4 linked regions of the Notamacropus eugenii genome follow. The protein of the gene in region 1 purifies or fractionates together with the protein of each later gene. This does not show direct contact. Links are inferred from orthologs where the notes say so. Each region holds a gene or a part of one and is shown on either strand. Other genes may lie near its edges.

Region 1 (7,706 bases):
AGTATTACATACTAAATGATAGAAAAGGCTCTTGATAGACTTGAGCCTTGGGTTCAGTTTAATATAGTGATAAATATAAAGTCTTACATTTGAATTCAATCAACCAACTTCATAATACAAGCAGTTTGTCAGGAAAAATTTGGTGGATATGAGATTTAGTGGACTGTAAGATCCCTCATTGTAGGGTGTGGGGACTCTTGTGGATTGTAAGTGGATTGATAAACTAGCCCCCCAAAATCCTGTGATCTTGGGATTCATTAAAACATAGCTTCCAGGAATAAAGGAAGGCTAGTCCCTCTGTATTCTGTCTTGGTCAGGCACACAAATGGCCTATTGTGTTCAGTTCTGTTTGCTCCAGTTTAAGAAGGACATTGATGAGCTACAGGGAATTACAGGCAATTAGAGGTGGCACAGAGCACAAGAATTGTAGTCAAGACAAGCATGATTTGAAATACAGCTGCAAACGCTTATTAGCTGTGTGACCCAGGCCAAATCACTTAACCTCTGTCTCCCTCAGTTTTCTCACCTGCAAAATGAGGTTACAAATAGCTACCTCCCAAATTGTAAAAATAACCTACCTCCCAGGGTTGTGGTGAGGATAAAATGTAAAAGCGTAAATAAAGTACTTTGTGAACCTAAAAGCACTATATAGATTATATTATTATAATAAGTTTATTATTATCATAATGGTCCAGAGGAGGTCAAGCAAGATGGTGAAGGATATACTTGGAGCTCTTGATTAGCTGATCATGAGGAACTGTGGATGTTTTAACTTAGCAAGGACTTGATGACTGTCTCCAAGTATTTGAAGGTTATCATGTCAAAAGCAGATGACACTTTTTTGTTCGGCCCTGAAAGGCAGAATCAAGATCATAGATGGAAGTTTGAAAGTTAGACTTGATGTCAAAAACACGTTGTGTTAAGTCATTTCAGACTCCTTGTGACCCCTTTTTAGCAGAGATACTGGAGTGGTTTGCCATTTCTCCAGCTCATTTTTACAGATGAGGAAGCCGAAGCAAACAGGGCTCAGTGACTTTGCCCACCATCACACGTGTCTGTGGCTGGATTTGAACTGCAATCTCCCTGACTCGGGGCGCCACCGAACTGCCCCGCCCCATGAATTCGAGCTGTCTAAAAGGGAACTGGACTATTTGGACTACTTCTTCATAAGCATAATCTTTAAGATTACCACTTGTCTAGTAGTTGTACAGTGAGGTTAGAGTTGGACTTGACGGCTGCTATAAAATTCAGTTTATCTGTCTAGGACGCTCCACCCATACCCTGACTAGACAGTAGAGCGCAGCAGAGGACCAGTTGGCTTGGAAAGACCACTCCCAGACACGGCTTGGGGACACGGAAAATAACTATATTTTCTAGCATGCACCCCTTGCCTCCCTCCCAAGTGAATTCTGAACACTATATTTACTGGAAAGAGCTGAGAGAATGGGAGGGAGGGACGGTGAGAGAGGGCTCAGCTCCCAGGACAATTCAGAAACGTCTCTGAAACCTGGAGCTAGGGAAAAGGAACCAAGGCATGGGGTGGGGCCAGAACTTTGCCAGTTAGAGCCTGGGCAGAGAGGGGTGTAGCCTCAGGTAAAAGGGGCGGGTCCTGGTGGAGAGAAGGAAGTTACCCGTAGGATTTTCTCCGAAGCTTTCTCCCGTTTTCTTTTCACTCCCTGCGGTCGCCTGAGGTCCTTGGCCATCATCCCCCGACCCCACCCCCAAATTACAGGTAAGGGAAGGGAACTCTTGGGGCTTCTGGCACTCAGAACTAGGGATGAGACTAGACTGCAGAGTCCGGGGCTGAACTTGGGGTGGGGGTGGGAGGAGACAGCTTTTTTTTTTAAAGCACCTGTCAGGTCTAACTGGTACTTAGAAGACTAGGGAGTTCGCATGTTGGGGGAGGGGGTAGTCTGGGGACACACCTGGAGGGCAGGGGTGGACACCGGAGAATATTTGTGCATTTTCCACTTAAATGAACAAGAACTCCGTAGCCTCCCAGGGCGTAGGCGCCTCTAGAACACAAGGTAGGTTGAGGTGCAGAGGAAAGAAGGAGTGTGTGGACTCGGCCCGAGTTACCAGAATGACTTGAGCCCCATTTTCCCTTTCTCCCCGCCGCGTCCTTAGCTTCAGTCCCCATATGGCTTCCGCAGTCTGGGGGGGCACCCCCTGGTGGGGTCCGCCACCCCCAGCCCCTGCCCGTCCCCTCACGGACCTTGACTTCTGCTCCGGAGCGCAGCTGCAGGAGCTGACTCAACTGATCCAAGAGCTCGGGGTTCAGGAGAGCTGGCACGGGGGGCCGAAGCCCGGGAAAGATCTCCTCCGGGCTAAGGACTTTGTCTTCTCTCTGCTCAGTAAGTGTGTCACCTGTGGTCCCTCCTGTCCTTTCTCCAGCGCCCCCGCTCGAGTTCTCAGGCCTGCCCCGTAGAGAGCCCCTCGACTGACCCCCTCCCCTTATCCTCAGGTCTCATCCACCGACGGGACCCCCGGCTTCCTGAGCAAACAGAGCTCCTGCTCCTCCGCGGTGGAGTCCGCGAGGGCTCTCTCGATCTGGGGCCTGGACCCCTGGGCCCCTACGTCAGGGGGCCCCACTACGACGCCGGCTTCACGCTCCTGGTGCCCTTGCTCCGGCTGGACTGCGACGGGGTAAGGCCTGACCTCGAGCTGGAATCTGGCAACGTATGGCTCCGCCTCCCAGCGCGAGTGGGCGGGGCCTCGGCCCTGGAGGCTTGGTGCGACTGCCTAGGGCCCTCCGCCCCGGCCGGGCTGGAGGGGAAGCGGGCGGTAAAAGAGGCGTGCCCATTGGAGAAGCCTCCGTGTGACGTCACCGGGCCCGAGACTGCGGCGGCGTCCGCGCGGGTGCTAGAAGACGCCGACCCCAAGTCGCCACAGCCTACGGAAGAGGAGCGCGGCGACTTGAGGGATTCGGGAGAGCTCGGCTTATTGAAGGAACCGCACAGTGACGTCACAGAGCAACTCCCCGGACAGCCAGTCCCGGAGCCTGAGGGGCGGGGCCCTCAGGAAAACTGGCCCTCTTTGTGCCCCACCCAAGTGGCTGCCTGGTTTTATTCCTCGCTAGCTGCTGTATCTGTCTCCTTGACCCCGGACCCCGGTGCGGTGCGCCTGATCCATGCCGCCCGCCACGCCGGAGTCACTACCATTCTTCTGTGCACCCCGGGCCCTCCCCCCCGGGTCTTGCTCTTTGACTTGGTGCCAGGGGTCTCCGTGGCCGGCTGGCCCGATAGAACCCGGACCCACGCCTGGATGGGTCCCGTGGCCGCTGGGCCTACCGCCTGCTACCTCGTGCCGGGCTACAGAGCCAAAAAGGAGGATGGGCTCTGCTGGCGGATTTGCTTTGCCCGCCAGGAGCTGGCTCTCAAGGCCCGCATCCCCCAACCTCTGCTTCAGGCACACGCCGCCGCCCAGGCTGTGCTACGCCCCCTGGTGGCCGGGGCCGGCTGCGCCGCTCCCTACCTCCTGCGAACCCTGCTCTACTGGGCCTGCGAGCGACTCCCGGCCCTGTATTTGGGGCGACCCGAGAACGCCGGGGCTTGTTGCCTCGGGCTGCTGGACGAGTTAAGCCGCGGGCTCGAGGCTGGGGCACTGCCTGACTACTTCCTGGAAGGGCGGGAGCTGGTGGCCGGGGAGGGGGCCACGGAGCTGGCCGGGTCTCTGGCCCGACTCCGGGGGGACCCTGTAGGGGCTCTGCGAACTGCCGTGGAGGAGGCCAAGAAGGCGCGGAAAGGGGGCGGGGTGGTGGGCGGGGGTCATTAAAATATTTACAGCTCGATGGGTGGGCGGGGGGCATTAAAATATTTACAGCTGGATGGAGACAAGAATTTTTTTTTTCCAACCTCCTTCATGCCCGTCTCTCCCAATCAGTGACATAACTCTTTCTGGGAGACCTAGCCCTCGAACTTTCTGTGGCTGCTGCCTGTCTCGGTCTTGACCCTGAAAAAAACCTTAAGCCTGTGCTCAGCACTGCCACCCTTGGCCCAAAATGAACGCATCTCCCATCAAGAACCCTGACCCCCTCATCCCTTCCTAGCCTATTTTTGCCCTCTCGCGACCCCTTTTGAAATTTCTCTTATGTATGACCCTAGGTGGGAGCCGAGTGGAAAGGTGAAGGGGAGATGCTGACATAGCATGATAGGATGATAAAATGGGGCCTGGCCAATTTGGTCAGATTGGAAATATTAGAGAAAACAGTTACCACTTTTTGGTAGTGGATCCCCTCCCCATTTCTGACATCCCCCCCCAAAAGCTACTCTATTCAGTCCTCTTTTTCTCATGCATTTTCCAGACGTTTTTCCCCCAGACTCAAGCTCTGCACCTCCTTCCCCCTTCTGGGAGTCATGGCTCGCCTCCCACAACCAGCTTGTTTGTTCGTTCCCAACATCCCTAGCCACTTCCATTTCCAGGTCCTCTAACAGATCCAGGAGTCCCTTTCCACCGTCCTCTTTTTGATGCTGTCTCCGCCCCCTGCCCCGCCCTCGGACAGGGTTCTTGGGCTGAGGTGGGGGAGCAGGACGCGAGTTTGCGGCTGCTGCTACGGCTGCCGTTACTGCTTCTGCTGCCTGGGCTTGCTTTCCAGTCAGTCCTGCTACTGAGGCCTGGAACGCCGCCATCGGGGGACTGGGGACGCCCTGTGAACCCACCCCTATTTCCCTGGGGGGGGAGGGATAGACAGCATCGAGGTGGACCGTGCGGGGAACCCTCTGCTAACAGGGGGACAGTGAGGGAGGAGAATATGAGAGCCTGAGCCATCCATCACTGCCGGCAGCAGGATCAACAGGACAGGTTTGGGGGGTCTCAGGAAAGAAAGTGGGGTGCAAACAATCGCTTAGGAACGTGGGTGGGGACCCTGGGGAGCACAGAATTGCCTGGGGGGAAGTACAGGAGGTAGGTTAATTTGGGGAGTCCCAGGAAGAAAGTGGGGTGCAACACTTTGGAGTAGCTAGCTGGAGGTCAAATAGCTGGAAGACTGCATCAAGACTGACTCCCCAATAACATTTTGTGGGATATCCAGAGTGAAGTTAAAGAATCACTATTTTGGGGTGACAGGATGTAAGAAGGGACCTTCTGTTCCCACTGCACCTTGATAACCCCCAAGTTGCTGGAGCTGGAAGGGCATATTTGGAAGAGCCAGGGAAGTAGAGGTAAGGATAAGTTTAGAGGATACCTGGTCACCAGAAACTAGGGCCTCTAGTGATTTAAGAAGGTAGAGAGTGTTGACTTGCTGAAAGGGGGAGGCATAAGCCAAGTTTATGGTTGATTTGGAAAGAAACTCAGGACCCTAGCAAATGGAACCTCCGAGAAGTTCTGGGCTATAGGTTTTGAGAGTGATGGGAAGAGGTAGATATATTCTAGTCTGGGGACTAAAGGGTGGCAAAGAAGACCCCAATTATCTTTAACTTCCTCACAGCTGCTGCACCAAGTGTTGCTGCGATGGGTGATTTGGAGATGTTGTAGCCCTGTTTCCTTCTCACCCCTTCTAGATTTCTTGAGCTGACAGGGAGGAGTTGTGAGATTCATTTCTGTCATCTTTCATAGTGAGTTAAGGTCTACAAAGTCTGGTCATCGGGGATTATATGGAGAGGTGCAGAAAAACGGGATCCTCGGTGTTACATCGATTTAGGGCCAGGACAGTGAAGGAAAGGAGAGAAAATTTGGGGCTGAGAGGAAGGGGAACCCAGAGAATTGAAGACAAGAGCTGGGGATTCACAAAGCTTGAACCAAGTAAGAGTTCAAGGATTCCCATTAAGTTTAGGGGTCACAGGGGGAGAGGGCAGTTGAAGGGACCCTTTTGAAGTACTTGGGGGGAGGGCTCTTTGAGGTACTACTTAACAGCAAAGAATCCAGGAACGCAGAGAGAATAAACTTGGGGGTACCAAGAGAAGGGATTGGAGAGTGCCTTCCCGGAGAAAGGAAAGGTTTTAGCTTTCATCCTTGAACTGCCAGTTTGGAGTTTTTCTGTTGGGGGGGCATTCTGGGAGCCAGATTGAGATTGAGGATTGTGTTCTATTGGGGTGCCTCCATACAATTTGAGTTGTATACCTCCATTGTGAGAGTGGCGGAGTTAAGGGACATCGTAGGAAGATTGGACTGTCCCCTAAAGGGAGGGAAGGTGGTTGGAGATGGCGGCGCTGGCCAGCAGCCTGATCAGGCAGAAGAGAGAGGTACGAGACCCTGGGACAAGCCGACCGGTGTCAGCCCAACGGCGAGTGTGCCCGAGGGGTACTAAGTCCTTGTGTCAGAAGCAGATACTGATTCTGCTCTCCAAGGTCCGTCTGTGTGGGGGGCGACGGGCGCGGCCGGACAGGGCCCCGGGTGAGTGATAACAGTTGGGGTTTGGGGTTTCTGAGTAGGTTGAGGTGGGAGCTAAACTAAAGGAGAAATCTCAGGGATGGAAAACCGAATACCCGGGTCCCCAAGGAGAGTAGCGGGACGAAGAGGGCCAGAGAGAAAATACTTTAGAGGGCTGAGTTGAGGGTTGGATAAAATAGAAGAAAACTCCTTAATGAGAGTTGGGCAATGGGGAGGCTAGAAGTTCAGATACTCTCCCCTTCTGCTGCTCCCCAGTTTCCTTTCTCTTCCCGCATAACCCTGAGCCTCCTTCTCTTCTAAAGCTAGGGAAAATGTGAGGGGTTTTAACAGAGCTTAACTAACCCCCGCCCCTCTCAGGAACCCAAGCATCCTGTTTCCCTACCCACCCCCTCCCGGCAGTGCCAGACTACGTGCGTTTCTTCCTGTCCTTCTGCTGATTTGCTTCAAGCCCCGAACTGAGACTAACCGAGGACTCGGAACGCCTGGGTCACACAACCTAGTTTCTTCTATTCTGCGACGCCCTTTTCTCTTTCCCCTCAGTTTAGCTGGTCACCCCATCCCCATTCTTCTGCTCTTCTGTTCCCCACACGCGAGCTTGGGTCTTTCTCGTTTAACCTCACCTGGCTCTGAGACAACCTTCCTAACTCTCCCTAGGGTGTCCTTGCAGATCAGCCCCTCCCCCACCCCTACCTCCCTGCTTCCTCCCCCGCACCCCACTCTGCTCTCCCTGCCCGATCCCAGAACTCTACTGTGTCCTCCCTCTTTCCCCTCCTTCGCACCCAGGGGATGGAACAAGGAATGTCCTCTGGATTTCCTCCCCAATTCTTTTCACACCCCCAAGTTCTACTTCCTCTAAGAACACAAAGCCCTGGCACCCGCTGGACTGGCTGCCCCTTCCCACAGGAACCCAGGCGTTGAGAACAGATTCTGGGGGACTAGGGGAATAAGGAGGCGGAGGGGGGGTGGGGGGGAAGTAGGGGGACGGGGACGGGAAAGACTGACTGGGACTGTACCACCCGCAGAAGGGCAGGGGGTACTACACTAAATTCCCTTTGGGTGAGAGAAAGGGGTGACAAAGAGACCTTCATGTTTCAAAAAGGGGCACTGTCCCTGTCCTCCTTTCCCCACTTTTTCCAAATTGATTTGGAAGTGAGAGTCTCAATAATCCCCCACCCCAAGTTCTCATTGAACGATTCCTCTCCTCACCCCCTCTGCCTTTTTCTGTGGTACAGTCCAGAGCCCACCCTTTGGAAATGTCCCTTTGCCCTTCTGTTCCACACCCCTCTAGCCCTTACACACATACACACACTTACACTCAGTCCTTCACTTACACTCATCCTTTGTATGCGCCACAACAATCCTCCCTCCCTAGCTTGGAA
Region 2 (7,232 bases), about 210 Mb from region 1:
GAGATCATCAAGGGAGAAAGTGTAAAGTGAGAGGAGTTCCCAGGACAAAATCTTAAGGGGAGCACAAGGTAGATGATGAATCAGCAAAGATGCAGAGGAAAAAAATCAAAGGAAATGAAGATGGTGGGGAGGTTGGGCGGGGGGGGGTGGAAACCCAATGCTACATACAGACACATTTGAGAGCCTTTGCATTGAGGTTCTTAGCCATTTTGTGCCTATTTCCTCATCTGAGGTCACTAAAGTCAATGATATTATCAAAGAAGAGAATAAAAATCAGAATCAAGGGCAGACTCTTGGGAGGAACATTCACCTTGTGGGTACTGGAGTCAGGAAGAGGACAGCAACCATTGAGACAAGAAAGGTGTCAGAACCAGGAGAGCCTGGTATTTCTGAAGTCAAAGAACAAGAAAGTTACACAGTAAAAAGTTAGTAATCGGCTGTGGCAAATGCCAAAAAAAGTCAAGGACTGAAAACAGGCCATTAGATTTGGTAATTAATTTTATTATATCGCTTGTGTTATTCTAGTTTTTCCAAAGAGAAGGAAATCAAGTTATTCAAACATGGCAGGGGTACAAAAGTAACTTGGACAGAGGTTGATGTAAAACTGAGAAGCTCTTAACACCAGGGCTCTGCTGGACTTGGTATGTGACCTTGAACCAGTCCTTAACTGCTCCATTAACAAAATGAATGCTCCTGGTTATCACTAGGGGGAAGAATAATTAGTCGTCATAAAGCACTCAGTGTTAAATAGTTGCATAAAAGCTGAATAATAAAACTCAGAAAGGGCAAAGTTAATGAGAACCATAAGGACACGTTTACAAGTAAATGAAAACCCACCACATCTCTGGTAGAGATTGAGTAGCCTTTTGCTAATGAGTCTGAAATCAGGAACACTTAGCTTGGATCACTAGGTTAAGTGTATTAGCACCCAGTCCTTTCAGGCAGAGAGAATGACTCTCAGTAAATATACTAGTAAGTTACAAGTACAAGTAGCCCAGGTGAACTTTCAGGCAACTGAGATTTCCAGGGTGCCTATCAGGTTAAAGGGCAACAGCACCTAACTCTGTGACAGCTATTCAAAGGGCCTACTGGGGAAGAACAAGGTTCTAGGAAGTTGGGATACCAGGGGAGGCATTGTTGCCAGGCTGCCAGCACTGCATTGTGCTGGGATCCAGAGGGCCTGCGCTCTAGCCTCAGACCCACCATTAAGTAACTGGATGACTTTTCCCAAGTTTCCTCCTCTGCAAAGTGAGGGGGTTGAACTAGATGATCTCTAAGTTCTCTTCTGGCTTTATTATAATTCTAAGGTACCTCCACAGCTTTACCACTGACTCATCTCAATGCTTTAACTAAAAATAAATATTCTATTTGTAAAGGGACAGTCACTCCAATGAATAAAATAGAATACAAAGGGTTACAACCCCACAGAACAAGATTAGGCTTCCAGAGAGCACAAAGAACAACTCCCTCAATCCTTTTTAAAGAAAACATAGGCTTTCCTCGAGTAAGACCTTATTGGAGAACAGATATAGCACACACAATGAAGGCTTTGTGCTTCTTAATTCAGTTTCTGAATTGTAAAACAGAATTCCTCCAAAAAACAAAATGGGAAGGCTCGCTCCTTTGCACAGGATCAGGTGCAAAAGCTTCAGAGGGTACTATCTAGTCTTCCTGCAAGCCCTGCTTTGCTGAGCTTATGCAAGTACTGCAGCCCGGGGATGGTTTTAAAAACAGAGAGCCCTGAAATATTTTTGTCTTTAAAAGGGAGCTGAAAGCACTGACTTAGGTTCCATCAGCCTCAGAAAGTCACCTCTCTTCTGCGCAACTTCTTTTATTTTGAGGTCAGGGTTGAGTGGAAAGTCAAACCACAACTGGCGGCTGCGCGCCTGCATTAGCCCCCCCAAATCCTCCTAGTCAGTGAGTTAACTGGCCTAAAAACCCATTGATCTCACCCGAGGGCCAAAAAACGAGCCAAAACGCAAAAACAAACAGATCAAATAAATAAATAACTATTCAACTTGTTCGGCCTCAATAAGTGCAACAAGGAATGATCAATCCATCATTCCTTACCGCCCACCCCTGCCACAAGCTCGGTCTTGGGGAGGCACACAGTGGGTCTCTCGGACCCCCGGGTCCATGGTAGTAGTGGTTACCAACCTCTAAAGGTTAATTCACAGTCAGAGGAGCTTGCAGAACACGGTCGGGGATGGTGGCTGGTCTCTTCACCATTACCTTCGCCAGCCGGGTGCAAGCGGTCTTCACTCTGGCTCGGGGTTACTGCGAGGGGCATCCCCCAGAAGGATTCCCAGGGTGCGCCGCCCAACCCTCCCCCTCCCCCAAAGCCACCCCAAGGGGGATGCCGGCCTGAATAGGGCGGTCAGCTCTGCCGCCGCCAGGGCCGGGGTGGACACGGTGAAGGGGGAGGCTGTCCAGGGGCCGGACCCTCTCCCCTCCCCGCCCAGCCCAGCCCGCCCCCCATCCCGGGTCCGGGAGCCCCCGGGCCAGGGAGCAGCGGAAAGTCAGGTACGACTGTGGAACCCGACTCGGAGGCCTCGGAGCTGATCGCCGCGGGCCAGGGCAGGGAAGGGACAAAGCCCGCGAAGCGACAAAGGGCAGCCAGCGAGCGCGGCCCGGGCCGGCCGAGCGGCGGGCGGCCCGCACACGTCAGCGCCGGGGGCCCTGGCTGCGTCACCCCGAGCTCCCCCGGCTCCGGGCCCGGCCCACCCGCGGCGCGCTCCCCTCCGGGCCCGCCCGCCCCCGCACCTTCTTGGGCGCCTTGGTGACGGTGGCCATGAACGAGTACTTCTCGGCGTCCTCCTTCTCCTTGGCCTGCTTCAGCTCCTCGCCGACCCCGACCCCGGCCACGGGCAGCGGCATCGCATCCGGCACCGACATGCCGCCCGCCGGCCCGCGATCCCCCCTCACAGCTCACACCGCCCCCGGCCCTCGGGCCTGCCCGCACGCCGGGCCGCCCAAAGCGGCCGCCCCCGCGGGACTAGGCGGACACCGGAGCCCTGGGCTCGGCGAAGCGGACGCTGAGGTGGCGGAGCCGGCACCCAGTTCGCTCCGCGGCGCCTGGCCAGCCACAGAAGCGGCGCGCTACTCTCGGCCCGCGCCGCCTCCGCCGCACGCTCGCGCGCCGCACGCAACTACGCACGGTCAGGGCAGAGGCCGCCGGGGGGCGCGTCAAGGACTGGCAGCCCTGGGGAGCCGGCGCCGAAGGGAAGGGCGGGGAAAGCCTCCGGGCAGCGAGTGACGACAACACGCACGCGCCCGACGCTAGAAACCGCTCCCCGGCTCCTCCTCCTCCTCCCCTCCCCCAGGCGGCAGTTGGGGCACTCAAAGGGGAAGAGTGAACCGATCCTGGAGAGGCACCAGGTGGCGCGCTGAGCCCTCGCAGAAGCACCTCGCCCCCGGGGCGGGGGGAGGGGGGGGCGGAGTTACAGCGCACGTGTCTGAAAGTCCTGCCGGCAGAGGAGCGCTAAGCGTGGTGTGGGGAGCCGGGGATTGCTCTCCGTGCTAGGGAACCCAACCAGTCTCAGAAAGTCAGTCAACCAACCCGCATTTACAGGTCGTCCACTGTGTGCTAGACGCCATGAAAAGACAAAACAGCCCTGCCCTCAAGGGGCTTCCAGGCTTTGAAGGAGCCAGCGCTTTAGCATCTAATTATATAAAATGTATCAAGTATAGAAGTAAAAATGCAAGGTCCCAGAGGGGAAGAGGAGGCACGGGGAGCTGGAGAAAGATCCTGCTTTCGGCCCCCTCCGCTTTAGAGAGCTCAGACCAAGGGGTCGCTGCTTCGGCCCCAGCCGGTGGCCCTCTGTCTCATGGGCAGTGCCTGCCTCTCCCCATTTCTTAGCCGTATTTCTCCACGGTCCTCCCGCCCATGCCTGTTGACAACTGGAGGCTGAGCTGACTTTTTCTGCAGCCCACTGGGAAAGGGTCTGAAGGACCAGGAAGGGTGGGGAGTGGAGGAGAAAGTCACCGCCTTGGATGAGCCTTGGACTGGGTGCCCCACCCTAGCACGAGGCACGGTCAGCCTCCTCCGGTCTGGTCCCGTCTGCTCTGTGGGCGCAGAGTGCACTCATACGGTGCCTGGTGAAGTCATCCACAAATAACTTACAGGGGACCCGAAGGACCTGGGTCCTAAGACCTAGAGAAGCTCCAGCATCACTTCTGCTCTTCTGAATCCTACCTGTCCAATGGGAGAGAAAGAACACATCTGCCTAAATACCCAGGGACCGCTGCCCTGGATAAGGAGATCATAGTGTGTGCTCTACTTGACTTAACTGGATGGTGAAGGTTTCTATTTGGGTGGGAAGTTGTACCCATAAGAACCAGCCATTATATTCTCTAACTTTCTAACCTCAAGACTTCTTTACACTGTCAAAAATTAGCCCAAAGAGCTTTTATATGGGTTGTAGCTATCAATATTTATTGTGTTAGAAATGAAAATATTTAATTAAAAAAGAAGAGCTTTATATGGGTTATATTGATTGATATTTACTGCGTTCAAAATTAAAACATTCTAGTGTTCTTATGAAACTAATTTGGACCTCAAAGACCCACTGAGTCTCAGGGACCCCTCTGCTATCCCCAGGCCATACTTTGAGAATAGCTGGTTTAAAGTAACTTGAGAGTAGTTGGGGTTAAATGAGTTTCTTCATATAAGGTGATTGAAAAGAGAGATGGCTATGAGGGTAAGGGAACCTAGGTTCAAATCTCTTCTCTGCTGTGTATCAGCATGCAGAGTCAGTGTGGCTTAGTAGGTAGAAAACAGGCTTCAGAGTCTGGAAACCCTGAGTTCAAGTTCTACCTTTGTCACATTCTGGGTGTAAGACTTTGGGCAAATCATTTAACCTTTCAATGTTCAAAGCAACTTTCAAAAACTGTAAGTTTCAGGTGCCAGTCTACATTGATAAAAGATCAAGGACACGTTAAAAAAGGATTAAATCACTTAATCTCCTTGGCCGCAGATTCCTCATGTATAAAATGAGGGGTTGACTAAGGTCTTTCTGTATCTATGATACAATTTTATATGCTTAAATTATACCCTGAGACCAACTCCCATAACTCTCAGCCACAGAGGGTAGTTGACTATAATCCCCCTCAAAGTTCTAAGGATAACTATAAGAAGTTGAGTTTCTAGCACTAGACTGTTAACTATGAGCCCCTACCAGTGTGGTTTCTGTTGGTAATTAGCCAGTATCCTCAATTAACTTTTTAGAAAAGGTATTTACTTATATGACATTGTAAGAACAGTTGGTACTAAAATCCCTCTAAAATGGGGTGAGGGTGAGAGTGGGACATTCTATCACTTTGTAAGCACAAGGTCTCTTGGGCAGAATAGATTCCAACTCAGAGAGCAAGTGAGACATATGCATAGGAAATACATATAGTGAAAAAATACCGCATAACTCTTGGCCACTGGAAATTCTTTCTTTCTATTGTGTAGTACTCATGCAATTCGCTGCAGGGAATGGCATCGGTAATGGACAAATCTTATCTGCTGGGCTAACTCCTCAAAGAGAGAAAGGCATTGCTGTTAGGTTGAGTCAGTCTGTTCTTAGGCCATTCCTCTGCTGGGTCAGGTCACTTTTCAATTGCTGCCTACAGTCTCTCCCCAGATTCTGTTTAGATGCTGGGAAACAAGAAAATACCAGCTGTTACCCTAAGACCTCTCCAGATTGTAGAAAGTTTACAAAATTACTAAGTATGTCCATCTCAAGGTTGCTGCTTGATTATTTCCCAACTCTTATGGCTCTAGTGGACACAGCTGCTGACTATGGCCACTGGTAAGAGCTTGTGATAGAAGTTCAGGATTACTCGACCTTGGGTGAAAGGGAAAAACACTTGCCCCAAAATGATTCTCTTTCAGAAACTTGGATGAAGTTCCTTTGCTCATAAATGGGCCTGCTATTGGAATTGTTGATTCCAAATTGTCTTGAAGTCTTATACGTAGGCCCAGAGGTGTGTCCAATATTTTGGACAATCAAAAGGTATTTCCCATCTTTATCTAATATCAAAGCAAATCATTTTCCTTCTGTTAAATCAATTAAAGACTTGTTCACATCTGGTATATACTTTTGATTGATTGAATCAATGAGTTACTCTGGCCTTTTTGGGGTTACATTAGTTGGGGTTAGACATACTTACAATTACATGATTATCATGTGACTCTTTTACTCAAAAATTGTCAGTGATATGTATTACCTATATAATAAATCATTTATCTTGGCATTCAAGGTTTTACATATTCTGATTCAAACTTCCTTTTTCCAACCTTTTTTCCATACTAATTACCTTCACATATACATTCTAGCCAAACTGAACTATCCTCTGTTTGGTCTTACTTCCCAAGTCTTTGCTTAATATGCCCACATTATTCTCCATCTGTAGAATCAACCTCCTCCTTCCTCCCTCCTCCCACCAACTTTTTAATTAGGAGACTCAGGTTATCATGTGGGCTTGGATACTTGCCAGTTGAGTTACCCTGGGTGAATCACTTCATCTCCATGAGTGCTTGTTTCCTCCTTTATTAACACAGAATGCTGTTTGAATCTTAAAGTGCTATATAAATTTGAGTTATTATTATTATCTCTGTCTATTAAAGTTTCTCCCATCCTTCCAGCCTTAACTCATCCAGGATGCCTTATTTACTGCCACACTTAGATGAAAGTAGTATCTCCTTCCTCAGATTTCCTATGGTACTTTCTTTGAATAACTTTACACTTGTAACCCATGGACCAGTATCTCTAACTCTGAGCTTACAGAGAGTAGGCTCAACCTTGGGAGCTACTCTACCAAAGCATGAAGTGGGAAGAATGCTGGATTTATAGTCAGAGGTACTGGTCAAATCTTGACTTGACCAATTTCTTACCTGTATGACTTTAGGCAAGTTCTTTAACCTCTCTTGGGCCTTACTTTCCTCAACTTTACAATGAAGAAGTGGGACAACTTGTGGTGAAAGCATATAGCCTGGAGTCAGGAAGACCTGAGTTCAAATCCAGTCTCAGACACTTACTAGACATCTGTGAACTAAATGGACAAGTCACTTAACCTCTGTTTGCCTCAGTTTTTCCAAATGTAAAATGGGGATAATAATAGTAGCTACCCAGAAGGGTTGTTATGAGGATCGAGTGAGGTAAAACTTGTATAGCACTTAGTGTATTGCCTATATAAATGTTAGCTATTCTTATTCTTTTTTTTATTACTAGGTGTGTGACTCCAGG
Region 3 (7,312 bases), about 260 Mb from region 1:
CTATGATTGAAATACTAGGCAAAAAATGAACTGCCACTGTCTGAACTGGGGTTCCTCTCAGTTCAAGACAAGATTTTTGGGAAATAGTACAGTATGCCACCTTTACTAGAAATTCCACTTTCAGAGCTGGTAAATGGTTCAGATTAGTCTTTACATAATTGGTAGGCAGTCTCTTTTGCAAAGTCAGCTGAGGTCCATCAATTCTCTCCACCTGCTTATCAGAAAATCTCACTAACTTTTTTATGGTAAAAAAATGTTGGTGGTGGATTGTCTTTATGAGGCTCTCCCTACTCCCTGGGGCTTTTCTGTAAAATAGGCAAGTTGCCCAGTTTCTCAATAACTTTATATGGGTTAGCTTTCCATCAGTCTGGTAACTTGTGTGCCTCTTATCCACCAAAGTTTACTTTTAAAAATATATTTTTTAAAAGTTTAAAGTAAAATTGACACCTTTTGTTTTTACATCACCCATATTTCCCACTGTATTCCCTCCCCATTCCCTCTAAAAGGACCATCCCCTGTAACTAAGAAAAAGGTTCAGCAAAACTAAACAACACATCAAACAAGTGTATGCAGTATCCCACAACTATGATCTCCATTGCAAAAAAAAAAAAAGTAGGAAGCAAACATTTCAAATTTTATAAAAGAATTTTGCCTCCTAGTTTGAGGACTTGAAAATTTATGCATCATTTTGGTCAGCTCTTCTGAAGTGAAGTCATGGCTAATTGGTAGACTTATTTCAGCTCCTTTTTTTAGCTAAGAGATGTATTTGCATTATCTCTATCCTCAGAAAACCTAAAGGACAAGTCAATAGATTAGCACAGCTCTTGACCACACATAAGCAATACAGGATAAAACCTGGGACATCACTCCTAAGGTAGTTATATCTGCACTAGAAATGTCACATGCTACCATCACTGAAATTTCTTGTTTTAGTCTTAAAAGTTTTTAATATGTTAAAAAGCACAAAGTGGTAGGGTTGAGGCCACGGGTCTCCTTGTGGATTGTGATATATAGCTCTAGACTTCCTGATATTTGACAATGCTACATTTCCTTGAAAGCTTGTTTTGGTCATAATGGATCCTGGCAGAAAATCGCATCAGTCAGTCAACAAACATTTATTAAGTGCTTACTACATACCAGGTACCATACTTACTAATCACTGGAGATACAATGGTAAAAACATTGCTCCTACCTTCAATGGCTTAGCATCTGTGAATACTTTCTGGTTCCTGGTTGGGTACACTTGTGTATACTTGGCAAAATGATTAGTCATCATTAAGATATGATTCATCTTTAATCTTCACTATTACCTATGCTTGGGGTCTTAGTTGGACAGGTGGGGTAATAATAGCACCTACTACACAGGATTATGAAGATCAAATGAGATTATATATAAAGTGCATTGCAAACCTTAAAGCAGTATATTTTGGTTATTATTTTTATTATTGGTTTACATGTTGCCTTAAAATTAGTCTCTGCCTGTTTTGGCAGGTTGTTTATCTGACATATGTGTATATGTTAATTTCCTCTTTAGAATATGTTTCTTCAAAGCAGGGAATGTTTCAATTTTATCTTTCTACCCACAATACCTAGCTAAGTGTCTGGCACACAGTAAGCACTTAATAAATGTTTGTTGATTAAATGACTGATTCTACTCTAAGATCCCTTCTAGCTCTAAGTTTATGATTTTATAATAATAATAGTTACCATTTCTATAGTGCTTTAAGGTTTGCAAAGCGTTGTATAGTCAAAGCTAGGATTTTTCCAGTAGTAATGTGTGGCTCTGAGAGTTGGACTGTAAGAAAAGCTGAGCACCGAAAAATCAATGCTTTCAAATTATGGTGCTAGAGAAGGCTTCTGAGAGTCTCTTGGACAACAAAGAGATCAAATTAGCCAATACTTAAAGAAATTAATTCAGAGTACTCAATGGAAGGACAAATACTGAAGATGAAGCTTAAATACTTTGATCATATAACGTGAAGACCGGACTTTTTGGAAAAGACCCTGATGTCAGGAGAGAATGAAGGCAAAAGGAGAAGGGAATGGCAGAGGATAACATAGATGGACAGTGTCATGGAAGTAATGAACATGAGCTAAGATAGACTTTGGAAGACAGCAGAGTTTAGAAGGCCCTGGAGTGCGATCCATGGGGTCACATAGAGTTGGACACGACTGAACAATAACGATTACATACATTATCTCATTTGATTCTCACAACAAACCCTGTGCTATTCCTGTTCTCATTTTACAGACGAGGAAATGGAAGCTGAGAGAAATGAAAGGATTTGCCTTATGGTCACATGGTTAGTATCTGAGGTAGTAATTTAAATTCAGGGGTTCTAGACTCCATGTCCAGCACTCTAATAATAACAGCTAGCAATTCTATGCTACATTTGGATTTGCTAATACATACATACACACCCCTCATCTGAGATTTGAACCTCATCACAAACTGTGTGAACTAAGTGCTTTTTTTGACTCTATTTGAACCTCAAAACAAATCCTGTGAATGTCATTACTCCTGTTTTTACATATGAGGAAACTGAGGTGGAGAGAGGTTAAGAGACTTGCCCCAAGGTTACCCAGCTAGCTGGATTTATACTAGGTCTTCTTGACTCCAACTCCAAAACTTTAATAATAATAGTAATAGATAGCAATTTATAGCACTTTAGGATTTGTAAATATATATGATACATATATACATACCTACATGCATACATATACACACACACATATATACACACAGAGACACATATATACATACACACATATACACATATACACACACACACATATATACACACACACATATACATATACACACATATACATACATACATACATATACACACATATACATACACACATACATATACACACATACACACATACACACACACACATACACGCACACATATACATGCACACATATACATGCACACATATACATGCACACATACACATATATACACACATATACATACACACATACACATACACACATACATATACACACATACACACATATATACACACATATACATACACACATACACACATATACACACATATACATACACACATACACACATATATACACACATATACATACACACATATATACACACATATACATACACACACATACATACACATATATACACACATATATACACACATATACATACACACATACACACATATATACACACATATACATACACACATATATACACACATATACATACACACATACACATATATACACACATATATACACACATATACATACACACATACACATACACACATATACACACATATACATACACACATACACATATATACACACATATACATACACACATATATACACACATATATACACATATACATACACACATATATACACACATATACATACACACATACATACACACACATATATACACACATACACACATATATACACACACATACATATACACACATACACACATACATACACACACATATATACCTCCTCATTTGAACCTCACAACAAGCCCCGCCAGGTAAGCGCTGGGACAGTCACTCCCATGTTACACATGAGCAGGCTGAGGCCGAGGCGGTTACCCGACCTGTCCCAGGCCCACCCAGGCGGGCAGCACCTGAGGCCGGCTCCGTACTGGGACCTTCCCGACTCCCACCAGCACACCAGTAAGACCGCGGGCATTCCCAGAGCGCACAAAGGTTCGCCAAGCGCCTCGCCCACGTAAACTGCGCTCTCGGGAACACCTGCTCTCCTTCCGGACCTCACCTTTGCCCCACCCCTTCTTCTATCCGGCCCCCAAGTCCATTTCTTCCTTTCCCGAGTCTGAGCCCCGCCTCTTCCCTCGTGGATTCTTTCCCTTCTTCCGCGTCCATCCTCTCGGCTACCCCTAGCGAGAGCCGGCCTCGGCTCCTAGCAACCGCATCCTCCGTTCCCTGACAACGGCGGGCGGCGCGTCTTACGTCATCACGCCTCAGCCCCGCCCCGTAGCCTTACTCCCGCCCTCTAGCTCCGCCCCCTCCCCCGCGGTACTCCCCCCCCTGCTCCGCACCCCCTCCCCCCCAGTTTCCCTTAGTCCGGGCTGCCTGCGCCGCCTGAGACTCTTGCTGAGCAGTCATGGCGGATCCCGCAGCCCCCGCGCCCGTCGCTCCGGCCCCGGCGGGTGGGCCGCCGGTGTGCGGCCCCGGGCCGGTGGCCGCCGGCTCGCAGCGCCTTCTCTTCTCTCACGACCTGGTGTCGGGCCGTTACCGCGGCTCGGTGCGCTTCGGGCTGGTGCGCCTCATCCACGGCGAGGACTCGGACTCGGAGGGCGAGGAGGGCCGCGGCAGCTCCGGGGGCTCCGAGTCCGGCGGCCCGGGCAACGAGGAGAGCCGCGCCAGCCCCCTGCGCCGCGGCTACGTGCGCGTCCAGTGGTACCCGGAGGGCGTCAAGCAGCACGTGAAGGAGACCAAGGTGAGTGAGGGCCCCCAGCGGGCGGCGGGGGGAGAGGGCGGGAGGACGGAGGTAGCGGGGAGCCGGGGCCCCGGGGCCCGCGTGGTGGCCGAGCCTGCGAGGGAGCCCGGGGGCGGAGGCGGGAAGGGGGCCCCAGGGTGGGGACCGGCCGGGGCAGGTGCACTGGGCCCCGCGGCTCGACCCGGTGCTAAGTCATTGCAGCAGGGCTGAGGGCGAGCCCCGGGTGCGGAGCGCGGGGCAGGGCCCTCGGACTCCCGGACTCTCTGGGAGGTGGTTCTCCGGGCCTCCTCGCGCCTGCTCGGGCCCAGGGACTGAGGCGCCCGTCGGCACTTTGCAAGCTAGGGGCGGGGGTGGAGGGAGACATGGAGCCTGTTCCCGGAGTGCTGAACGCCGACCCCCCGGGGAGCGACACGGGCTGCATTGTGCGCGGCCCAGAAGCCATCCAGAAAGGAGAGGCCCTGCCTTGTCAGTGTAGGCGTCAGGGAGGCTTGGCTGGGAAGTTCCGTGGGGAAAATACGTATATTATATGTGAAATATGTGTGTATTTTTCTTTATTGCGAAGGAATTTGCTTTGCTCTTATTTTATCCCGAGTACCTTTACATAGTTGCTAATGGGGAACTTTGTGAAGGCAAGTCAGATGCTTTGCAGTCCTGAGTAATGGTATGTGTAGTACAGTATTCATGATAACCAAGGCTTGGGGGAGAAACGTTGAGAGCCGAAGAGGGGGTGGTGGTGCTCTTTATAGGAACTGAGGGAATGATGACATTTCAGCATTTGGAAGTGCCTTTGAAAAGGCTGAAATGGGAGCTATCTAGGGGGGAAAAGTTGCTTGTGCATGTTCAGATAGGCGGTGAAAATAAGTGATTACTCAAAAAAGTCAATCTTAAGCATATTTGGACTTCTTGGAAAAAACGCTTTAGGAACCAACCTACTGACTGCTGCAAATCCACTAATTTGGAGTGGGACTTAAAGGGATTTTCTTGCTCCCAGGTTGTAACGGAACATCACTCTTCCATATGGCTGTCTGCATTGGAGCTGGGGGAAATGGATTGATAAATGCTTTGGAAACAAAGGGTTTGGCAGCCTGTAAACTAGGACCAAACATATTTTGTTAGTTTGTGGCTGTTTCCCAAAACGTGGATTGATATCGGTGACACACAAGCACACCCTTGTTTACCGTCTGTGTCCTCTACCCTTCCCTGCCTCTTTCCCTCCCCCCACACCCCCACGATTTTCTTTGCTTGGATAAGGCCTGAAATGTTTCAGCCATCTGGGTCATTGCTATTGGAAGATCTGGTTTTTAGGGAGTGGGCACATGAGAAGTTAGTCCTTTGCTAGATTGGATGCCTCACATGGGGAGACAAAGGAGACTGAGAAATGGAACGTCTTGGCTCATTATGAAGGGGGGGTCTTTGGATGAAGATGTCACTCAGGGAGAGAGGCCCCATCACAGGAAGAGACTGTAATCCATTTTCTAGTGGCAGAAGTGATTGCAGATTCCAGCTGGGTCTTCTACATAAATGCTCACATACACATTTAACCTCTCTCTATTCCCCACCACCCCCAAATGAAACTTGAGTAGTAGCAGTTTCATTCTTAAAATTCATTTGATAATTTGGTTGGAAAATGCTGCTTTTTGCAGTAGGATGTTATGTTAATAAGCACTCATCGTTATTATTTATGTCCTCAGGAAGTGGATGTTTATTGTTCATTGCATATGTCTCAAGTGCGTGGGGATTCTGGTGCCTTTTTATGGGCTTTTGAAAAATGTATTTTTTTCCCCTACCTTCCCTTTTTGTATGTTATAACTTAAATTTTGACTCCTTGCAGCTAGGCTTCTTAATCTTGAGACAATAGAGGAGCTAGTTCCTGATTTCCAGGCTCAAACTCTCTCCTTGGCCTTTTCAGTTCCTGGCTATTGCCATGTTTAAAAGTTGTTTCTGTCTTGGCTTCAGGAGTTACCTTTGTTTACAATTTTGGTTTTATCTGCCTTTTCTGTTTCCCTCCACTCCAGTCCAGTGACTTATACTTTGAATTATCTACTAGTTTTGAAGTCATCATAAAAAAATTACCATATGGTTCCTGCATGGACAAATTCTGAATATAATTCTGAATTAGTTAAAATGTGGTTAGGCTAACTGATTAACCGTGTTAAAACAGCGCTTTTTTAATTTGCTATCATATTCTCGTTTTTGTGTTCCTATCCTTCCAATCAAGGCATATCAAAAGAATGCTTAGAATGTTGTGAATTGTAGCATGATGGACTCATGGAAATAGTTTTGATGAATTTTAGATTTTTGAACATGACAAACAGGGGGCCCATTAAAGATTAATTTTTATATTTAATCAACTTTAACTTATTAAAAATAAATATATCCAAACAGCAACTAAAAATTCTTTGTTACTTGTGCCTGGCATATATTACATACTGAATAAATATTTGTATTTCTGTCTATTCTGATCTTCATGATTGTACCAAATATGTTTTATGCAGATATAAGTAGTATATATGCAATATTTCAAGTAATGTGTTTTTTCTGTATATTTCTTCATATTGATCTTTTTTATATTTACTCATAATTCTTACATTTGCCATTTTTTTTTTCTGGCAACGTAATGGCCCTTTGCATTAATGCACCGCAGTTTGCTTACCCATTTCCCAACCCCATTGTGCATTTGGGTTTTTTCCAGTTGTTTTTTTATTATTATTATATATAGCACAACTGTAAGGGGAGTGGGAATGTAGAGATCAGAGGAATTTAAAATGGCTACTAAATCATGAATAGTATCAGTGGCTCCTTTTAAAATAATCGGGCTTAATGTTTGGT
Region 4 (7,324 bases), on another chromosome or scaffold:
GGGGTCCTTTCTCAAGCTAATCTGCCAAGCATTGAAATGCTACTGAAGAGAGTGCAACTCTGACTGACTGGCCGCGTTGTTCAAACGCCAAACGTACATTTGCCTAAAAGATTGTTTTATGGAGAACTCATGCAAGGCAAGGGCTCACACGGTGGTCAGGAGAAGTGATACAAGGACACTTTCAAGGTCTCTCTGGCAAAGGATGGCCTAGAATGGCATACCTGCATCAAAGAAGGTGCTGTGCTCTATGAAGGAAAGAGAATTGCAGTAACTGAAAAGAAAAGAAAAATGAGAAGTATGAGTTTAGAGATACCTCTACTCCAAATGTTCATATGAACTCTTTGTGCCCAACCTATGGTAAAGCCTTCCTAGCTTACATCAATCTGATCAGTCACAGTCAGATATACTTAACCCCAACAAAGTGATGATATTTTGGTCATTTTTGATTAAGTTGCTTGGTTGTTGTCCTTCATTCTCAAAGAGGACCATTACAGTGTGTCTGACTGTGGCTGACGAGACAAATACAAGCTGAGAATGCTCCACTGCAGGTCAGGCACAAACAGTTCATGTGAACATTTGGGGGTGTATCCTAATTTGTATATCCTGCATTTCCTTTGAGCTGTCTCAACTGTGCTTCGCTCACAGAGCACAGCACCTTCTCTGATGTGGGCACCCCATGCTGAGCGGTTCAGTGCCAGTGTCTCCCATGTCGCATAAAGGACAACAAGCAACCAATAAAGGCTTCGTCAATATCAATACCATTGGTATTCCTCAATTCCAGGCTGCTCAGCTCCTTTTAATTCCACTGCCTAGTTAAGTACTCTGCATATAGTACCCATTTAATGTCTGTTAAATTAAGATGAATTGAAAGGAAGAAAGTATAGGACTTTATAATAGACAGAGAATGAGAAAAAGGAGAGGAAAGATTCAAAGATGATTCCAAAGTGCTGTGTTGGAGAAAATGGTAGGAGTACCAAACTAATAAAACTGGGAATGTTGGGAATGTGGCCACATTAGGAAGGACAACAATGACTCTATGGTTGGAGTTTGAAGGGACCTTGGAACCCATCTAGTCCAATCGATTCATTTTACACAGGAAGAAACTGAAGCCCAAGAAGACAAAATGACTTACCAAGGGTCCCCCAATGGTACAGCAAAGTCTAATAGTGAGTTTCAGGTGACAGCTGGAAGTGGAGGCCTAGTTTAAAGGTCCAGGTCCTTGGTCAGGGTTGGGAAGAGACATTTATGATCCATCACCATGGAAGTAGTGAAGGTGAGGTACCAAAGAATGTGATGAATAAAAGAGTGGGAGAAGGAAGCAAGTAGGTAAGAAAGGAAGAGAAAGAAAGAAGGCTTACAAGAAAGTAGGTAAGAAAGGTCAAGAATCAAATCTTGGGAGATAGCTACAATTATGGGACAGGAAGAAGGAAAGGAAAGAAGTCATCAGGCAGCAGGAGAAGAATGAAGAAACAACATTTTGCTTTAATTTATCTCTAATCCTTTAACTTTTGAGAAAACAAAATACTATCCCTCCCATTTCTGGGAGTTAAATCTTCATTGGGCGGCTTGGTGGTGCAATAGAGAGAGTGCCAGCCTGGTATTCTAGACTCCTAATTCAAATATGGCCTCAGACACTTAACAAGCTGTATTACCCTAGGCAAGTCACTTAACCTCAGATTCCTTATCTGTAAAGTGGAGAAAAGAATAGCTACCTCCCAGGGCTATTGTGAGGATCAAATAACATGAAAATTGTAAAGCATTTAGCACAGCACCTGGTGTATAATAAATGTGAGCTATTATTAGTCAGTCATATAATTCAACAATTTCATGTAAATAAGCTTTAATCCTGAGCAAGACCCATCTTTTTCCTTAGATTTAAGCAAAATTAGAAACTCTGGATTTCTACTTAAACTTGAACTGATTGAGAGTGAAGTGGCTATTGGCATGAGTTGGGAGATTGATTTGCCCAGGAACTACATCACTGTTTCTTGTTCTTACAAAAATCTCAGTATTAGAATTCAGAAACCTCCTGTAAAACTGATGGCTTGTTATTTACAATAACTGTAATTATTTTATTTTTACATAAATATTTACTTAAATATTATACATAAATATTATTTTATACATATTATATTTATATGTTACTATTATTTTAAGATGCTAGGATCATAGATTTAGGGATAATAGAAGGGACCTTTGAGGTCATTTAATACAACTACCTCATTTTGCAGAGGAGGAAACTGAGGTCCAGAGAGCTAAGATTACCTGTCCCAGGTCACAAATGTAGTAAGTGCCAGAGGCAGGATTAAAACCTAGCTCTTCTGATCCCAAATCTGGCCACTTTTCCATTGCCCCATGCTATAACCCAATTCACCTTTCTGGGTCTCTGCTTCCTCCTCTGTAAAATGAAGGGGTCCATTTAGATGAGGGGGTTCTGACCCTCTGTGTCATAGAGACAAGTTCATGGACCTCTTGAAATGGAACCATGACCCCCAGTAAAGAACTCTTCTTTTCAGGCCCTAAAATCTTCCCCATTATTTAAATCCTCTGGTTTTTTGCAAAAGTACTTTTTTTCAAGGAAATATGCTTAATCAAATATACAAAGAAACAAGGAAATCTAGGGTCACAATTGAATACAGTATTTATACCATATTGTCCTTTTTCAAATTTCAAAAATCAAGATTTCATCCACCTTGGTTTTCTCCCCACTGCCGCAGAAAGCAATGAGAAGATCCCAGATTTAGAGCTGGAAGGGATCTCAGGACTCACGTACTCCAACCTTCTCATCTGACAGAGAGTAGGGAAAGTCAAACGATCTGATGGTCATGAAAACATTCAGTGACCAGGTCCTCTGCCTCCCAATCCAAGACTCTTCATTCTCTCTCAGCACACTGAAGGAGAAGGCATTGAGTTACTAGGACCAAAAAAATCATCTCCTGGTGGTGGGCAGGCTCCTGGGGATCATCGTTTAAGCTAGGCTATTCCTCAGTGGTACTTGGGGCGCCTTGAGCTTGGCAGGACCTGTAGAACACCTGTATGTCCGCAGCCCTCACCCGAGGACAGCACTCCACACCAGGTGCCTGGACCTGCTCTTTCCAGCCTGTCTTCTGATCCGTCCTTCCCAGGACCACCACAGGTCTTTTGTACAGCAGACATACAGGGTCTCCTCCTCCTCCTCCACTCTGCCCAGCCTCCTCTCCAAAGCACCCTGCCCTCTCATTTCACCAAGGGGTCTCCTTGGCAGGACTGTCGTCCTTTCGCTGTTCCATTCTCGCCCGCTCTGCAGCGCTCAGCGCACGCAGCAACTCCTCCTGGAAGTCCTCCTCGCTTGCCCTTCTCTAATGCATAGATTGGGTGATTCCTTGGCACTCGGTAGTTGCGATTATTGGTCTTTGTATCGCGCCCTCCTCTGAGATCTGCAGCTCCCGGAAGGCCGGGGGGAGGTCTTTATCTTGGAATTGTGCGCGGCGCTTAGACTCGCGTGTCCCAGCTCCAGGAGCCCAGGAAGCCTCTTCCCCCGGGAGCGGGGCGGGGGTGCACCCCAGTCTTTGCCGCGGCAGCCCCGATCCCTGCGCACTGCGCAGCTCCGGCGCCGGCGGGCTCTGGGGCGCCTTGGGCCGGGTCCCTCTGCCTTATGGCCCGGCCCCTGGAGCAGAGCCCTTCCAGGACGGGGCAGTTCAGGGATGCGCGTAGTAGGAGCGCAGGGAGGGGGCAGAAATGACTTTTTCTTTCTTTTTCCACTTAGGGTCGGACACGTCCCTTCGGAGAAATAAGACCAAACTTGCGCGCGCGCCAGAGATGGGAGAAGGGGGTGGGGGTGGGGACCTGGGGAGGAGGAGAGCGGGGCGGACGGCGCGAGCCAGGCACACGCCGGGCGGGTCCGGACCAGCGCGCGCGCGCCCGCGGGCCGGCCCGAAGCCGGAGCCCCGCCCCGTCCGCCCCTTCTCCGCCCCCCCCCCCCCGCGCGCCCTTGCGCCGGGCCACGTGACCCATTTTGTTGTGGTCCCGGCCCGCGTGGGTGTCAGTGGTGGTCAGGCCGAGGGGGGGAGGGGCCGGGAGGGGCGGGGCGGGGCCGGGCGGCGCGGGTCACGTGACTGGGGTTTAAATCTCCCGCAGCCGGCGCGGCGGGGGCGCCAGAGCTGCTGCTGCGCGTCTGCTGAGCGGGTGGGCGGGGGCCGGCGGCGGAGCGCGGGCGGCGGAGGCGGCGCCGAGGCCAGGCCCAGGCCCAGGCCCAGGCGGGCGGGAGGCGGTTGAAGATGGCGGACGAGGCGGCGCTCGCCCTGGAGCCCGGCGCGGGCGGCGCAGGTCCCGCGGAGCCCGGCGGGGAGCCGCTCAGCAAGCGGCAGCGCAGGGACGGCCCGGGCCCGGGCCCGGGGGCGGAGCGGGCCGGCGGGGCGGGGAGCCCAGGCCTGGAGGCGGCGGCTGCCCCTTTCGGGGAGGCCGCGGCCGCCCCCGGCGGGGACAATGGACCGGGCCCTCGGGGCCTGCGGGGCCTGCCCCGGGAGCCTCCGCCACTGCCGGACGACGACGACGACGACGACGACGAGGACGACGACGAGGAGGAGGAGGAGGAAGAGGGGGGCGAGGACGAGGACGAGGCGGCGGCGGCGATTGGCTACCGAGGTGCGCAGGGTCCGGGCGGCCGCGACTGCGCACCGCCCCCCGGGGCCGCCCGAGCGGGGAGGGCCGAGGAGGCGGGGGCCGGGCTCTCACCGCCGGGCCAGGCCGGGCGGCGGGAGGCCCCAAGGTCCACCCCGGGCCCGTGACCTCGGCGTCGGGACTGGCTGGGCTCCTCCCCCTCTCCCGCGCTCAGTGCGGCGAGGTCACTCCTGGTCATCCCCCGCTGCGTTCCCCTCCCTTGGCCTCCTCTGCAGGACCTCCGGTGTTCGGGGCCCCTCCCGCCTACCCCTCTACTAACCTGATCACCTCTTGTGCAGAGGCTGGCTTTTCCGCAGCCCCGGGCTGCTTGACGAGGGGTGGGTTCGGATAGCCACCCTCCGCTCCTGCCTGTTTGTTTCTAGTCCTCGTTTTTCAGGGGCTCAAGTTTTATTACCATTATTAATATTTTGGACTCTGCATGTTCAGGAAGCCGGCGTAGCGAATTCTTGCTGTAGATGAAGGTAGACTGGTGGGCAAGGTAAATTGATGTCTCCTAGTTTGGAGGTGACCCCGGGCTCTCCACGTTGGTGCCAAGAGGATCCTAAGCGCCGGCTGGTTGTGTCAGACTGAAAAGGCTTCGTTGTCCCAGCGGACCTGCTTAGGTTGTTGGGAGAAGCCTCCCCCTGAATGGGCTGCAGAGCCATGAATATGGCCACAGCAACTCCCCTACAAAGGGGGTGGAATCCGAGGAGCGAGGGAGTACTCACACCAAGGAACAGATTCTTGAAGTTTAAGAAATATGGGCAAGATCACTGAATGCCAACTTTAACTTAACCTGAAAAACTCCTTTCCCCGCTCTAATCTTATTCTTGCATAGCATCTTCAGCTCGTTACTAGTCTAGCGTTTGGTAAACCAAAAAACACTTTAAAAAAATTTTGAGTGATCCTTATTGTTAGGTGTTCTTTTGGGGAGAGTAGAGGGAAAAGGAATAGTTTAGTTTGTGATAAGTCAATTCACATACAGCCTTTTACTTCTATTGACGTGAAGCTGTTGGCATCATTTAGCATCAGGTTGTTGGCATCAAGTCATTTGATGCTGCTGTCTTTTGAACTTTTGAAGCTGTGTGACTCTGGGCAAATTACTTAAACTGTTTGCCTCAATTTCCTCAACTGTAAAATGGGAATAATAAGTAGCACCTACCTCCCAGAGTTGTGTGGATTAAGTTAGATAATTGTAATAAAGTGCTTAGCACAGTGCTAGGTGCTTAGTGAATGCTATATAAATGTTAGCTATTATTATGAAGGCTTTCTAGATATAATATATATACATATATATACACACACACACATATATATGGAAGACTTTCCAGATGAAGGAAGCAAGTATGTGAATTAACTATTATTTGGTTTACATTTACTTGAAAGCCACTACTTGTAGTCCAAAGAACTCATGTTTGATAGGCAGTCCTGTTTTATAAATTATCAGTGTATTTTTTCCTTTTTGCACTATCTTAGATTCTGTAGTTAGATTGTTAATCTCTGGGAATCTAGAATCATTTCAATGAAAACACGGTGACACTGAATTACTTAACTAATTTAAAATATAGTAAATAATTGGTCTGAAGTCCTTTCACTATGTTTCATTGTTCTGAGGAGATGACCCTGGGTGCCCAGAGACCAGTGGAGGCCAAGCTGGGAGGGTTTGTGTGTGTGTTTGGTTTTTTTTACAGGTGAGGCACTGAACCAGTCTTGCAGCTAAGAACCAGTAAGGAGTTTAGTCCCCAGGTCATTAATGATTTTTAGCTACTAACTTAAGAAACTCTCTGTTTGTTGGAGCTACAGTCTGCCTTGGGAGAGAGTGAAAATACGTATGAGATTACTCTTTTAGAAGTCGTTTGTATTTACTTAGCTTCAAATTTTGCCCCCCTGTACCCATTAGAATGTAAGGGATTGAAGATAGGGACTGGTTTTTTGGTCTGCATGTTTCCAGTGTCTATAACAATGGCTTGCAAATAGACATTTAATAAATAATTTGAAATATTAATTGAACTAGGGAAGATGAAGGAAATAAGCATTTATATAGTGCCTATTGTATACCAAGCATTTTTTACAGTTATCATTTGATCCTCACTACAACCCTAGGAGGTAGGTGCTATTATCTTCATTTTACAGATGAGAAAACTGAGGCAAACAGGTTAAGTGCCTTGTCCAGGGTCACACAGCTTGTAATTGTCAGAGACTGGATTTGAACTCTGGTCTTTCTGACTTGAGTCCCACCACTCTAATATACTCCTCCACCAGCTGCTTCCAGTAAAAAAAATTTTGAGTTCATTTACTTTTGAATATCGTTATAATGGGTCCTTAATAAGATGTCACACTTCCTTTTTGGTCCTGTGATTTCTGGCTGCAGCCAGTTCTTATTGAGGAAACTTCCTTTGTAGATTGTTGGCTAACTTGTTCTCTTAGAGAGCTACCTTTGGCACTGAGAAGTGACCTACAGTCACAGAGCCAAATCTGTCAGACTGAACCCAAACCCAGGTCTTCTGGGCTTGGAGGCCATTTCTTTGGCCAGTATTCTATACCTTCCCTTTGGTCTGCCCCTTTTTAGAGATGTCATCTATTTCCTTTTCTAAGGCATTTTATTTCTCTCTGTTTTGCAGAAAATCTCTTCAGTGATGAAATTCTTGCCAATGGCTTTCATTCCTGTGATAGTGATGAGGATGAC

The links.
Region 2: the proteins of FGF11 (region 1) and AHCYL1 purify together in Homo sapiens (affinity purification with mass spectrometry; 3 studies listed by BioGRID and IntAct, with this or other methods). This does not show direct contact. The link is inferred for Notamacropus eugenii from reciprocal best matches to the Homo sapiens genes FGF11 and AHCYL1.
Region 3: the proteins of FGF11 (region 1) and UBE2O purify together in Homo sapiens (affinity purification with mass spectrometry; 3 studies listed by BioGRID and IntAct, with this or other methods). This does not show direct contact. The link is inferred for Notamacropus eugenii from reciprocal best matches to the Homo sapiens genes FGF11 and UBE2O.
Region 4: the proteins of FGF11 (region 1) and SIRT1 purify together in Homo sapiens (affinity purification with mass spectrometry; 3 studies listed by BioGRID and IntAct, with this or other methods). This does not show direct contact. The link is inferred for Notamacropus eugenii from reciprocal best matches to the Homo sapiens genes FGF11 and SIRT1.

Annotation. Positions count from the first base shown.
Region 1 is NC_092873.1:78,544,567-78,552,272, reverse strand, and holds the start of FGF11 (fibroblast growth factor 11), read left to right. Parts: upstream 1-4,533; 5' UTR 4,534-6,137; coding exon 6,138-6,330; intron 6,331-7,706. Other genes in the region: TMEM102 (transmembrane protein 102), read left to right, coding at 2,128-2,354, 2,465-3,774.
Region 2 is NC_092873.1:288,330,782-288,338,013, reverse strand, and holds the start of AHCYL1 (S-adenosylhomocysteine hydrolase-like protein 1), read right to left. Parts: upstream 3,106-7,232; 5' UTR 2,896-3,105; coding exon 2,764-2,895; intron 2,181-2,763; exon of another isoform or gene 2,158-2,180; intron 1-2,157. UniProt on the Homo sapiens protein: Multifaceted cellular regulator which coordinates several essential cellular functions including regulation of epithelial HCO3(-) and fluid secretion, mRNA processing and DNA replication.
Region 3 is NC_092873.1:342,947,030-342,954,341, reverse strand, and holds the start of UBE2O ((E3-independent) E2 ubiquitin-conjugating enzyme), read left to right. Parts: upstream 1-4,126; 5' UTR 4,127-4,147; coding exon 4,148-4,483; intron 4,484-7,312. UniProt on the Homo sapiens protein: E2/E3 hybrid ubiquitin-protein ligase that displays both E2 and E3 ligase activities and mediates monoubiquitination of target proteins. Negatively regulates TRAF6-mediated NF-kappa-B activation independently of its E2 activity.
Region 4 is NC_092872.1:261,064,335-261,071,658, reverse strand, and holds the start of SIRT1 (NAD-dependent protein deacetylase sirtuin-1), read left to right. Parts: upstream 1-4,175; 5' UTR 4,176-4,256; coding exon 4,257-4,623; intron 4,624-7,259; coding exon 7,260-7,324. UniProt on the Homo sapiens protein: NAD-dependent protein deacetylase that links transcriptional regulation directly to intracellular energetics and participates in the coordination of several separated cellular functions such as cell cycle, response to DNA damage, metabolism, apoptosis and autophagy.